2 linked regions of the Nothobranchius furzeri genome follow. The protein of the gene in region 1 purifies or fractionates together with the protein of each later gene. This does not show direct contact. Links are inferred from orthologs where the notes say so. Each region holds a gene or a part of one and is shown in the gene's direction. Other genes may lie near its edges. The genes, in order: gosr1 and bet1l.

Region 1 (7,690 bases):
ACTTGGATAACAATATTTTTGGCTTGCCTAGAGAGTTTGTTGTGGCCAGTGCAGGTAAGCATTTCTATGGAGAATCTAGAAGTAACAAAAATAATTACACAGCTTGTTTATGAAAACAAACGGCTGCTTTTGAAGATGTGGTTTGTTCGATTGCAGCTAAAGACCCGAGTAGGAGCTATTTGTCCTTGAATCCTTCGTGTAAAGGATGTGCGTGTGCGCTGAATTGTGTTCTTCATTTCTGCTCTGCAGCTGCCTCCATGACGGCGTTGGTGATGACGGCATGCATCATCTGGTGCGTGTGTGCAGCCAAGTCCAACAGTCAGAAAGACGGCTTTCACCGCCTGCGACAGCATCGCGACATTTATGATGACGAGATCCGACTCAACACCATGGGCTCCAAGAAATTGCTGCTCGCTAATGAGTTTCAGGACGAAAGTGAAAGTGAAGAAGAGACTCTGTATGCCAACAAGATCTGAGAAATGCACAGCAGCAGTATTTTTATGTTTTTCAGCTCCCACCACAGTCAAGTCCCTGACCAGCATGGAGCTGAATGGACCCAAGAATGAGCAGCTTTAAAGTGTTTTTTCTATCATGCCATAAAGTTTAAAGGGCTCAGCCCCGTCCTTTCAGTGCTGCTAAAACTAAGAATCCTTTAGGTTAAGGGGTTCATGTATGCAGCACTCTGAGGTCAAAAACAGCCCTGATCAACCTTTACTGCAGCTTTTTGTTTTGTTTCAGAGCCGTTCAAGATGATCAGACCATTATTTGTCCTCGCAGTCCCAATGAACTCAGTAGTTCAATTAGTGGAAAATAGAAGCGCTTTATCTCCTGGAATCTCTCCTCGATAGTTGCCATTACCATGCATTGTTTCCAATACTGCCTGAAGCTGAGAGCTTATAAATGGTTCTCATTTCTTGGTCCAGTATGGAGGAGTTCTCGTGAAAGGTCTGTTTGTGGGCTTGAATTGAACACACTGTGCCTTTTTGCTTCTGTAAAACGCCATGGTTCCAGTCAGGCTGTGAGAAGAGACAAAGCTTTGTGGCTGGGTTAGTTAATGCTGAAATTGGATCTGTCCTTTACTCAGGTTATGTAAAATATGAAATTGTGTCCCAAGGAAAGCTAAATTCTGATGTGACACTGATTCAGCACGGAAAGGAAATTTTGTATGTTTGCAGTAAGTTGAAACCATCCGTTCATCACTGGTGATAAGAAATGTACAACGCTCTGTCATGAAAATACTGTATTTATTATTCCCAGTTTGTTTTAAAGCTTTGTTTATAGTAAGTTTCTGTATGTACATGGACGGTTATTGCTGTTATCCACGAATGTCACATGTGTTGTGCCCTTTTTGTGTGACTGTAGACATATCTTTATTCTGACACTTTGAGGTTTGGGACTTTCTCTTCTGCCAATTATATTCCCTTTCAACTGGTTATTTTAGTTGTAAATGTCATTACTAGTGTGTTAATTGTTTTGTTTCAAGGACTCTGTCAAAGCCACCCTTTCTGCACAACCTCAAGAGGTAATATTTTTCAAACTTGTTAATTTAGACTTTATCATATGAATTTTTTCATTACTTGTGTGTTTATTTAAGAGAAGTTCGGTCCCTTTGAAGCTTATTTATATGCTAAGATTGTATCTGTGCTGTCATCTTAGTGGGAAATGTGACCATTAAAAGAAAAAAAATATATTTTATTTTGGTGATCCTGTACTCAAAATAAGACAGATTTTTATTCTGAAACATCTAAAACCAAATCAGTTGAAAGACCCAACACATCAAACTGGTTTATTCTTCTGACTGCTATTAGATCGCTGCACTGGTTCTCTAAATTGTTATGTGACCTGCATGGATTCAAAGCAATACACTTGTTCTCTTCATAATTCCCCTTTATTTTTCTCAAGAGATCGTTTCTTGGCAAGGAATACAAATGTAAGTTACTCTTCTATCATGTCTGAAAGGCCTTGTGTAAAGACTTAGGAAAGCGTCACGCTGTGTTGATGTGACGATTTTATAAAATAAATTGGAATTAACTAAATATTGTTTGCAAATTGAAATGTCTGTGGGATGTGCACCTTATGTTGACTTCACATACATTTAGAAGCATCTTGGTGGTACTGAGACCAGGCTAACATGCACAAAAACTCCCAAAACATGGAAATAAAAACATCTCTGAGCACCACTTGTTTTTAATCACTTTTGTTTGTGAGTACTGCAAACAAAACCAATTGTCCCAAACCTGTTTATTGTAATGTAGCAAAGAGTTACATTGCATTATATTCAGCATAGAAGAAGGACCAATCCCAATACTCGCACTTCCACCCTTCAGTTGCATGTTGCAGTCCAGGAGTGGCCTGGACTGCCAGACTGCTCCTGGAGGACGAGTCTGGCAGGCAAAGAGGAGAAAGAGAAAAAAGGGTACATCCTTTCCGAGAACAGGAAGAAGATTGTAAGCTGTACATGCAGAAACCAAACATTAAAAAGACAAAAGATAATCTATTTTTAATTTTGACCTTACTAACCACCTGTTTGTTCTTCACTTTTCCATCGTGATTTAAAATGACCTCGTTTTTAAAATGACAGTATTTATGTATTAAGTTTTAACCGGTCCATTGCAAACAGTTTACTTGGAAATTTAATTGTGCTCTTGGAATGTAACTTTTGATGTCAGAAACTGAGAAAAGAGGGTCATTTATCTGTGTTGAGATTTAGAAAAAATGAAAAATTTTACAATTTTACCAATGTTTTTTAATAAAACCACAAAACAAACAAAAACTTTCATGACAACATTTTGTATTTAAGAACAAAACCATTTATTTATTTATTTTTCTAGCATGGCAAGAAAATAATGCTGTTAACAACTGCAACAAACAGATTGAGATATATAAAAGACACACAAGAGTTTTCATCAAAGGGTTGCATTGCACTCTAAAATTATTTTATCTGGACATAATTTAAATTTTTACAGAATAAACAATGAGCTGATTTGATCTAACTAACTTCGTAACTTTGAGCAACGCATGGAATGAAAGAGCCTGCCGTACCTTGCAGTCTCAACCGAGGGCGACAAAAGCCCTATATCGTGCGTCTCCTTACGTCACGTGACCTAAAATTGAGGCTGACGTCGCAGAACAACAAAGATGGCAGGAATAGGAAGCAGCACTTACTGGGAGGGTAAGGAGCGAATATTATTATTCAGTTTCCAGCTGTTATTAAACGCAGTACCCACTTGTGCCGTTCACATAACGTGAGAGGGAACTTGTGGCCGTCTTTGTGTAGTTTTATTGTTTGTACGTGACCCCTAGACCAACAGCCCGCTCCCACCAACAAGCTAACACATCGTCATGTTACTCAGAAGTTGGTGTTGCTCCTTAAGCTGTTAAATCCGCCTCGTTCCTTTGATAGACTTATCAGCCCTTAACATCAAGCCTACCTTCGCTGGATGCCATTGAGCAGATAGGTTTAGGCTGTTCTCCCGGTTTAGCTTTATATTTAGCTTAAAACGTCAGACGTTGCTTCAGTTGTGTTTTATATGAAAGTTTTTACATCAGAAATGAAAACAACAAGGGGCTACAACCATCAACTAAATGTGGAGAACTTCAATAATAATACCAATAATAAACACACACACACACACACACACATTTTTATATGTATATATATAAATAAGTATTTTCCATTTAACTAGATAATATGAAGAGCTACAAATAAATGGCATAAACCTTTCTTCCCATGTCTCGCTATCAAAACTGTAAAACTTGAACCACTAATCATGAAATTTTTGTTGCAGACTTGAGAAAACAGGCAAGGCAGCTGGAGAATGAGCTGGACCTGAAACTGGTCTCCTTCAGTAAACTTTGCACCAGCTACAGCAGCTCCAGGGATGGACGTCGAGGAGAAACGTAAGATTAATCACGATCACACCTGAAAATAAACACCTGCTTCCATTCTTACTACTAGATGTAATGCAATGACAACTTGAATTCAGTTAAGCTGTCTCTAGTTCCTTATAGTTTATAGTAAAGACACACTTTTGTTACTTATTTTCATCAATAGACAAAATGAAGTAGTTTCCAATTAGGAGCCAGATGATATTTCTATAATTTCATTCTTGTAATTTAGGGGTAGAACAAATTGGTTTCTTAAGTTTGGTTAGCAAAGTTTTTTATACATACTTATGAAACACTAAGACAATCACAGATGGAAATGTTTGGCTTAAGGGATAGGGTTGTATTCATCCAACATTTAGAGGTAGTCAGGGCTATTTTTTAAAATGAATATATAGCTCTGACTATAAAGAGTTTATCTACTTTTTAATTTGATTGAATACCAGAAACCGAACATCCAGATGTTTTTGATTTGCTAAAATAATCATCACAGTAGTCAAAAGTTGTAATGCTGGGCTTTTATTAACAAAATAATTTCCAAATTTATCAAAAACTGCTGACCAAGACACATGTCTTCCTTAATGTCTTGTTTTCAGTTGCTTCTTGAAAGAAGAAAGAAAGAAAATGATCTTTTATATCGGGTCTCTCTTGATAAAAATCACGAGTAGTTTCACAAGAACAAAAATTAAGCAAAAAAAAAAAAGTCATAAAAATGAGAAAAATAAATAATTGTCATTTAAAAATGTAAGGAAAGGGAAAGAGAAAATGTATAATTTACCATTTACCATATAAAAAAGAGGAAATCAGTGGATCCCAGGAAAGGTGGAATTGGTAGAAAGAGCAGAACAAGGAGAGGGTGGTGATGAAGATCACACAAAAGCCAGCCTGAACAGGTGAGTTTAAAGGAGACCACTGAGTCCACTGATCTCAGGCTCAGGGGGAGAGAGTTCCAGAGTCTGGGGGCCACAGCAGCAAATGATCTGTCACCTTTGGTCTTTAGCCTGGTGTGCTGCACAACCAGTAGTCTGATCACTGGACCTCAGGGACCTGCTGGGGGTGTAGGGACTAAGAAGATCACCAATGTAAGATGGTGCTTGTCCATGTAAGGCCCTATAGACCAGAGCCAGGATCTTGAAATGTTATGATCGTGCACAGTTAATTTCTGCCCCATCTAAAATACTATTCAGCCACATCCTGGCGATAATATTTGAGGTAGTTTGTGAATAAGAGGAACAGAAATATCTCTCTACTTCTTAAATAAATATTTTTTAAATGGTTTAACTGTGTTATATAGCTGTAGTTGCAACACAGCCTAGATATTTTGTTCCTAGCAAGTTAAAGTGTTTGGAAATGGGAAAAAGTTCTGATCAATACGTGACCAAGACAGGAAACGGGTAATTAAGCTACTTATTTCAAACGACCAAAAGAACAAGTATAAATCAACTATTTTCAAAATGATCTCATAATCTTTTATAATCTTTAAAATAATTATTGTGATGACATAGATGTGATGCAGAAAGTGTTTTGGATAATAGTATGTAAATGTTTGATGCAGCTCTTCTGTAAATTCAGTAAAATCTTTGCTGCATTACATCAACATAGTTTGTTCCCAGTTTTTTCAGTTTAAGATAATTTTAAGAGTATTTTTCAAAAAACAGTGACTGGATTTTTCTTGTCTTTTGAAGAAATTTATTTTCTGTACAAGGAGAGTTCTCAATCCAATTGCAGTATAAATCAAATCAAAGCAAACATAAAATAAACCCTAATTAATTTTATGATTTGCCAAAGCCTGTCAGTCATCTAGGACATGGAATGCTGCTGGATTGAGTCCATGCTGGGAAAAATAATTCCAGTTTTCTGCAGTGTTTTTAAATGTCACTTGTCATCTATGTGTTTTGTTATTCACACTTTTACCTTTAAAGTGAGATGAACATCTTTAAGATGACTTTCTCGTATTTCCATCTAAAGTTCAGACACCACCCCGCTACTAAACAACTCCAGCCAGGACAGGATGTTCGACACCATGTCTGTGGAGATCGAGCAGCTGCTGGCCAAGGTAGGCTGTTCTCTTCATGAAGGGTGAGGAAGATCCAGATATCCTGACATTGATAAGTGAGCTGATTTGCATGGACCACTTTGTCAGAAATATTCCAGTCTGGTGTTGCAGAAGCCAAAAAGTGATCTTGTATGGAAATTTATGTTCTAATGAAATAGACTTTATTGCAAGTAAAGTTACAAAAAGAAGTAATATTGGCCACAGATTGAAGCAATGTTCTATAATGGGCCATTCCCTTCTGTACCGGGTCGGCCTGGGCCGGGTAGCCCCAGTCGGCCCCAGCCTGGCCCGGTTGATTCGTCTTAAGCCCATGTGGGCTGATTCTACCCACCAATCAGAGGCTTGCTCTAATGGAAGGTGTGAATTTGCTGTCAGCAGTGGGTGTGTTGGCCCTGGTCGGCCTGAAGCAGACCCCCTCGAGAAGAGGGCTGAGAATGAGCCTTGGTTGGCCCGGAGAAATACCAGGCCACCCTGATATGTAAACAACCTACGCTACCCGGCCCGGGCCGACCCGGTACACATGGGAATGGCCCATAATTTGGATATTTAGCCTTTTTATAGCTATTTGTGTTCAGATTTAGTGTAAGTTTTTATTGGTTTTATTGGTTCTGATGCCTTAATTCTTCTTGTTCCATCCACTCATCTCCAACATCTCCTTCAGCTGACGGTGGTAAACGACAAGATGGCCGAGTACACAAACACCCCGGGAACAGCTTCTCTCAACGCTGCGCTGATGCACACCCTCCAGAGACACCGAGACATTCTGCAGGTTTCACCGTCATTCATCACAATCCTTTCTGCTTCTTGTTCGTCTTTTTGGTAGTTTTGATTACTTGGTGTTTCCTTGTTGTTTATTCCTGTTTCCGTTCAGGATTACACGCACGAGTTTCACAAAACCAAAGGCAACTTTCTGGCCATCCGAGAAAGGGAAGATCTTCTAGGTTCTGTCAGGAAAGACATCGAGTGAGTATCCACTCAACATTCGTTATTGTCCTGTGAAGCCTTTCTTTTGTTGTTAACGAGTGCTAAATTTAAGAACTGTTAAATCATTTTGAAGGAGTTGAGACGTTTCAGACCCAAGTCTTTAGAAGAACGTTCAAGTTTTGTCTCACTTGAGAAATGTTTTGTTTGAAGCGGTTTGAAGATTTCTGACCTCCTTGTCTCTTCATTGAGAAAGTGTCTTCAGATCAGCTCAGCTGTGAGTGAATGTAAAATGGGATCACGACTCCTGAGGGTTTTTCTTTTCATGTAATGACGTATTGATTTGTTAAGATGCAGCAGTGGGCGTACAGTGAGCGCTGCAGGATTCCCATTGATCCTCTCCATCCATCTGGGGCAGAGGCCTCGTACTGGCACACTTCTGCCATACTCTATTAGCCACTTATTGATATACTCAAAGTGTTTGTCATGATTTAGTTTATTTAAATGTTGTGTTCCTGAGAAGGGCTCAGACCTCATGACAAAGATGTGCTATGTTTTCATTAGTTTTGCAGGTGAAACGTTAAAAGTGTAGTCGTCTGACCTAAGTTTGGAGACCAGTTTACTCTTTCAGATTTTTAGAAAACACTCAAACTTTCATGTAATTTTATGCAACATTTTAAGAAAACAGAGCTTTGATTGAAAGCTTTCCCATCATAAAGCAGTTTCAGGTGGGAAATGGCTTCCAGTTAAATCAAAGTAGCAACTGGTTTTATATTTTTTACACCTGGAAGTTTTAGAAAAGCCATGAGCTGCTTTTCAGCTTCTAAA
Region 2 (5,850 bases), on another chromosome or scaffold:
CAGGATAGCCGTCTTCTATCAACTGTCCCTCGGCATTCTTCAAACATCCAAAAAATGCCCGTACTTCCCACTTTGTCTTCTTTGAGGGATAATAAATGTCCTGAGTGCTGCCGTCTCCTCCTTTGGCCGTTATTTCAGCTTTAGCTTCAAGAAAGTTTTGGTTGTAAACAACAAAGCGCGCATGTGCCGCCGGCAACTTCAGCAGATGATACGGTGGCTGGTAAGGGTCACCGAGCCTACACCGCAGCCAGGTAACCCACCGAGATAATATAGTTTTTTAAAAACAAGACGGTTATTATTATTGTCAACTTTTTTACCGGGGTTTACCGCTACACCGGTTACCGTGACAACCCTAGTTCAGAATGCTGCTGTCAGAGTCTTAACAAGAACTCCTGTTCTTAGATCCCTACACTGGTTGCCAGTAAACCACAGAATAGACTACAAAGTGCTCCTACTAGTTTATAAATCACTCAATGGCATGGGGCCAAAATACATGTCAGATCTCATTCCTGTATATACACCCAATAGGGCTCTGAGATCCCTTGGAAACAATCAGCTGGTAGAACCTCGGGTCAGAAGCAAACATGGTGGAGATGCATTTAGTTACTATGCTGCTCACATATGGATCCAGCTTCCCCATGACCTCAGATCTGCCCCAACTCTAGTGTTGTTTAACGCTAAAAACCCGAATGTACTCATCAGCCTTTACATGATTTGTTTCTTATGCTGGGTCGTCTCCACTGTAATCTCTGATGTAATTGCTCAACCATAGCTCTGTCTTTTCCTTTTAGCTCTAGAATATAATTGTATCTGTGTTCTCGTGTTTATTGTCGTGCCATTTCATGCTAAGTGTAAAGCACATTGAATTGTCCCTGTGTTTGAAATGTGCTGTATAAATAAAGCTGCCTTCCCCTAAAAATGAATAACATTTACCAAACAGCATTGGGGTTTGCATTTTCACAAAGACATAATGAAAGCATTGTTTTTGTATTTATGTTTGTTCACCAGAATGCCCCAGCTAGAGTGGAAACAGGATTGAGTTGAAAGTTGTTGTAACCTCTGATCTTCTGTCTCCTTTTTGGCAGCTAGCATATGACATCGACAGAGAGGCTGACGACCAGAACGAGTACCTAGACGGCATGGTGGGTCCAATCTGTGGCTGACATCGTCTTTGATGGAAATTTTGGACTTTATTTCCAGATTAAAGTCAACATTTTTAGTAAAACTAGTCAAAGTAGATTTTCAAGATGAGGAATAAAAACAAGCACTGTCTCAAAGGCCTACAGTCTTTCAAGCAGAACTTAAACGTTAAAGTCCCATTAGTCGTCACCCAGGTGGAGTGTTGAGCTGCAGACGCGGCTGTGCTCTGGAACTATTGGGTTGTTTAAGCCCCCAATCGAACAAAACCTTTAATGCTGAGTGTCAAACGTTGGTTAACATTTCTCAAGTCTGCCTCGTCCATTATTCTGGAGAACGAGAGGAGCCGAGTGTGGCTGAGAGGCCGCCAAACACAGTGGAGGACGAGCTTCTCCGAGCCTCCACAGAGCCGGCTTCAATCAAAATACACCCGAATGAATCCACTGTTTATATAAGGAACAATAACACTACCGGATTTACCGGTCGATCTACGTCCCAATCCTCCCCTATGGTCATGAGCTTTGGGTAATGACCGAAAGAACGAGATCGCGGGTACAAGCGGCCGAAATGAGATTCCTCCATAGGGTGACTGGGCTCAGCCTTAGAGATAGGGTGAGGAGCTCGGACATTCGGGAGGGACTCGGAGTAGAACCGCTGCTCCTCCGGATCGAAAGGAGTCAGTTGAGGTGGTTTGGGCATTTGGTCAGGATGCCTCCTGGACACCTCCCTGGGGAGGTGTTTCGGGCATGTCCTGATGGCAGGAGGCCCCCTGGGTCGACCCAGGACACGTTGGAGAGGTTACATCTCCAATCTGGTCCGGGAACGCCTTGGGGTACTGCCGGAGGAGCTGGTGGAGAAGGCCGGGGAGAGGACGGTCTGGAGCTCCCTAGTTGGGATGCTGCCCCCGCGTTCCGGACCCGTATAAGCAGAAGAAGATGATGACGGCAATAACACTAACCCATTCATAATGGTGGATTTGAACAGCAGTCTCCCAGTCTCAGGGCACACACTCATACCATTAGGCCACTGAGCTGGTCTTCAGAAGGTTGAGTGGAGACCAAATTGTCTCTGAGTGAGTGAGTGAGTGAGTGAGTGAGTGAGTGAGTGAGTGAGTCGGTGGTCGTTTGTCTCGTGTCCCTGTGATGGACTGGAGGCCTGACCTGGGTGTCCCTGCCTCTCAGCCAGTGGCTACTGCACATAGACTCCAGCTCCTCACGACCCTAACAAGGAATAAGTGGTTTAGATGATGAGTGAGAGAGTTTTATGGGATAGATGATCCCAAATGTTTACCGGGAATTCTACACTGTCAGTGAGTCGAGTTAAACAGGCCTGGCTTCGCTGTAAATACTGTTCTCTTCTTCCTCTTTAGGACTCAAACTTCCTGAGTGCGACGGGCTTGTTAAGCGGCAGCGTGAAGCGTTTTTCCACCATGGTCCGATCTGGCAGAGACAACCGCCGCCTCCTCTGTTACGTTTCCATGGGTCTGGTTCTGGTGTTCTTTCTTCTTTATTACCTGGTGTCCCGGATTCAGCGCTGAGACCAGACTGTTACCACCACACCAGACTCCAGTGAGCTCTGTATCTCGAGCAAAGAAGACTTTTTTTTTTCATTCATCAGGACCAAAGAGAGAAACGTTAGATGTCAACAGGAAGTACTAATGTAGAGCAGGTGGTGTGGGCTCGCTCGATGGGAGGAACGGTGGTGGATCCTGTTATGAAAACAGCTTCCCTCTGTGGAGAACCAGCTTTGACCTGCCCTGCATCCCGAGAGAAGGAAGGAGAAACATCTGGTTTTGGTACAACACAGCTGAGTCTCAGCTCCTGATCACACACCAGTTCAAATCAGAGCATCTCTGATGAATCTTAGATTTATTCAAGTCTTTGGAGGTTAAGGGTTCTCTTTCATGTTTCATGTATTTGCATTGAAACTATAAGTTATGGATTATTGCAATGCTTATGTCAATACGTCTCTGGCATTAACATTAATGTTAAGATCCTGTTTGGGGTTTATAGAGATGATTTGGCCCTTTATTCATTCAAATTTCATTTCAAGTCATCAAACGATTGTGTATTCCAGCAAGTTTTCTCATCACAGATGAATGACATTGATTTAAAGACTGTTATTAGGGTTGGTTGCAGACTTGGTGGTATTGTACCTATTATGGGATTTATATAAACAACGGATCCATTTGGTTGCATTTTGAGTAAAGAAGGAATATATTTATTTTCACGACTGTGACTCAAATAATGATTTTATTTTAGTAACTGAATAAAACATTTTAAGATGTTATAGTTGTTTCCTTGCCATCTAAAACCTCTGAAATATTTTCAAAAAGTTTTTTTAAATCCATTCTTTTTGTTAGTACGATTGAAATGAACAACGAGACAAGAGGGATGGCCAGTTAATCTGCGCGGAAGCGGGAATCTTGACCGGCGAGTCGCTTCGGGTAAACTCGTATCCTCTCGGTATTTTCCGGAACTCGCCACAGACATCAAATGCGAACAAAGAAAGAGCTGTTGTCCTTATTCCTCTGGATTAGCTGGTGTGGTTCCGTTAGATTTGGGTTGAATACGCGACGAGCTGATTATTTAAACCGTACCAGTAAACGTGACGTGTGCAGCGCTGTCGGAGAAGCTCGTGCTCCGCTGTGTTCCGCGGCCGCTCGCCTCGGCCACATTCGGCTCCTCTCGTTCTCCGGAATAATGGACGAGGCAGACTCGGCCACGAAAGCGCTCGGGCTGGATGAACCGCCCATCGGCGGGTCGTCTGTGGAGGGAGCGAGCTCGGATACGGAGTCGGAGGCCGAAGTCACCCCGATGGCTGTGATGGCGGAACCGGGAAACATCGACATGGGAGCCGAGTCCCTGCCGAACTCCGACGAGGCCGAGGCTGCTTTTGCAGGTAACCAGCAGCTGCAGGCCGCCAGATTATTTAGTATCTAACGTATATTTGGCTCTGTTAAAAGCCATGCATTCGGAGTCCACATATAAAACTACATTAATGAAAATAAATAGCTAGACTGCTGTGCCGAAGTCCATTCAGGTTTTGTGTGTTTTTAACTGTCACCATGACAGGAAATGTCTTTACTATAGCTAGACCTTAGTTTACCAGTTTAACCGATGCTCTCAAATTCGGCAGCAGCAAACATGAGGGGGAGATGACCCGGTTGCAGGGTGCAAGTGTTTACAGTCAGAAGATGCAATGTTGACTTTTAAGGTGGCCCAGAAGGGTCAATCAAAATTCAAACGCAACAAAAGATTTCACCCAGAACAACACAATATGGCTTGGTGAAGGACTTTGGTTAGTTGGGATTTTTAAAGACAAATGAAACTAAAGACTTTTGACAACGACCCGTCACCTTTTATTAGTCTGTTTACAGTAGAGAAAGAAATCTGCACATTTCCATTGCAAGTTTTATTGACAAACCTCAGTTTATATTATTGTTATTTATATGTTTGTGTCTCTGATCGTTTTTGGTTCTGGAAGCCTCAGACTTCATGGATGTTTGAGCCAAATCACTATAATATTACCAGTGAACGTGATTAAATGGCAGAGGTGTGGACTCGAGTCACATGACTTGAACTCAAGTCAGACTCGAGTCATTATTTTAATGACTTCTGACTTGATTTGATAAAATTTATAAAGACTTACGACTTGATTCGGACTTAAACGCCAGTGACTTGCGACTTGAATTGACTTACATCTGTTGACTTCAAATCATCACATCAGATTTTATTTATAAAGCGCTTTTCAAGCCAAGTGCTACTCAAAGTGCTTTACAGTATCAAAATGACCCCAAATTCCCATAACAATTTAAAAACAATAACACACACACACACACACACACACACACACACACACACACACACACACACACACACACACACACACACACACACACAATAACATCAGTAAAAATGTATATTCGGCTGAGTCCAGATGAGCCAAGTAAGGTAAGGCAAGGAAACGCCATCAGCGGAGCCGTCTGCCCCGGCAACATCAGGTCTTCCACAGCAACTAAGTCAGAACACTCAGAGGAGGGGCAGCATAGACCCCCACCTCCACCCAAACACTACCTGTAGAACGCCCAGGAAGCAACAGTCGACCACGACCCCTGGGGCAGAGGGCCCCTGCAGAGAAAACACTGGATTAAAATGAGTAAAAATATGAAAATAAAAGAGTTAATATAAATGACAAAATTAATAAAATAAATAATTAAATCATATGGACAGTAAAATTATAACATTGTTAAATAATGAAACGGTGCTAAAATATAATCATGTAAAACATGCAAAGCCAGTAATAAAATATAGTCATGTAAAACGAGAAACTAAACTATAGTAAATATTTAGATAAAAGCTAACCTATATAGGTGGGTCTTGAGCCTGAACTTAAAAACGTGAACGTTCTCTGCGACCCTGAGGTCCTCTGGCAGCTCGTTGCAGAGGCGAGGGCCATAATGCTGGAAGGACGACTCGCCGTAAGTGTGTGTCCTGACTTTAAGGAGGACCAGGAGACGCCTGCCAGAGGAGCGCATAGGCTGTGAGGGTTCATATGGGAAAAGCAGTTCTCAAAGATAAGAAGGTCCAGGACCATTAAGACACTTAAAAACCGTTAGAAGAACCTTAAAATGTATGTATTTATTTATTTATTTAAACATAATTTTATACAGAGGAATAACCACTTGAGATGAAACATCTCGTTTTCGAGTGG

What was found.
Region 2: the proteins of gosr1 (region 1) and bet1l purify together in Homo sapiens (affinity purification with western blotting; 3 studies listed by BioGRID and IntAct, with this or other methods). This does not show direct contact. The link is inferred for Nothobranchius furzeri from reciprocal best matches to the Homo sapiens genes GOSR1 and BET1L.

What each region holds. Positions count from the first base shown.
Region 1 is NC_091753.1:37,561,765-37,569,454, reverse strand, and holds the start of gosr1 (Golgi SNAP receptor complex member 1), read left to right. Parts: upstream 1-3,088; 5' UTR 3,089-3,138; coding exon 3,139-3,172; intron 3,173-3,788; coding exon 3,789-3,900; intron 3,901-5,853; coding exon 5,854-5,941; intron 5,942-6,602; coding exon 6,603-6,710; intron 6,711-6,812; coding exon 6,813-6,904; intron 6,905-7,690. Other genes in the region: cpda (carboxypeptidase D), read left to right, coding at 1-54, 250-476. UniProt on the Homo sapiens protein: Involved in transport from the ER to the Golgi apparatus as well as in intra-Golgi transport. It belongs to a super-family of proteins called t-SNAREs or soluble NSF (N-ethylmaleimide-sensitive factor) attachment protein receptor.
Region 2 is NC_091754.1:42,722,828-42,728,677, reverse strand, and holds the end of bet1l (BET1-like protein), read left to right. Parts: intron 1-1,085; coding exon 1,086-1,142; intron 1,143-2,506; coding exon 2,507-2,674; 3' UTR 2,675-3,424; downstream 3,425-5,850. Other genes in the region: deaf1 (deformed epidermal autoregulatory factor 1 homolog), read left to right, coding at 3,633-4,038. UniProt on the Homo sapiens protein: Vesicle SNARE required for targeting and fusion of retrograde transport vesicles with the Golgi complex. Required for the integrity of the Golgi complex.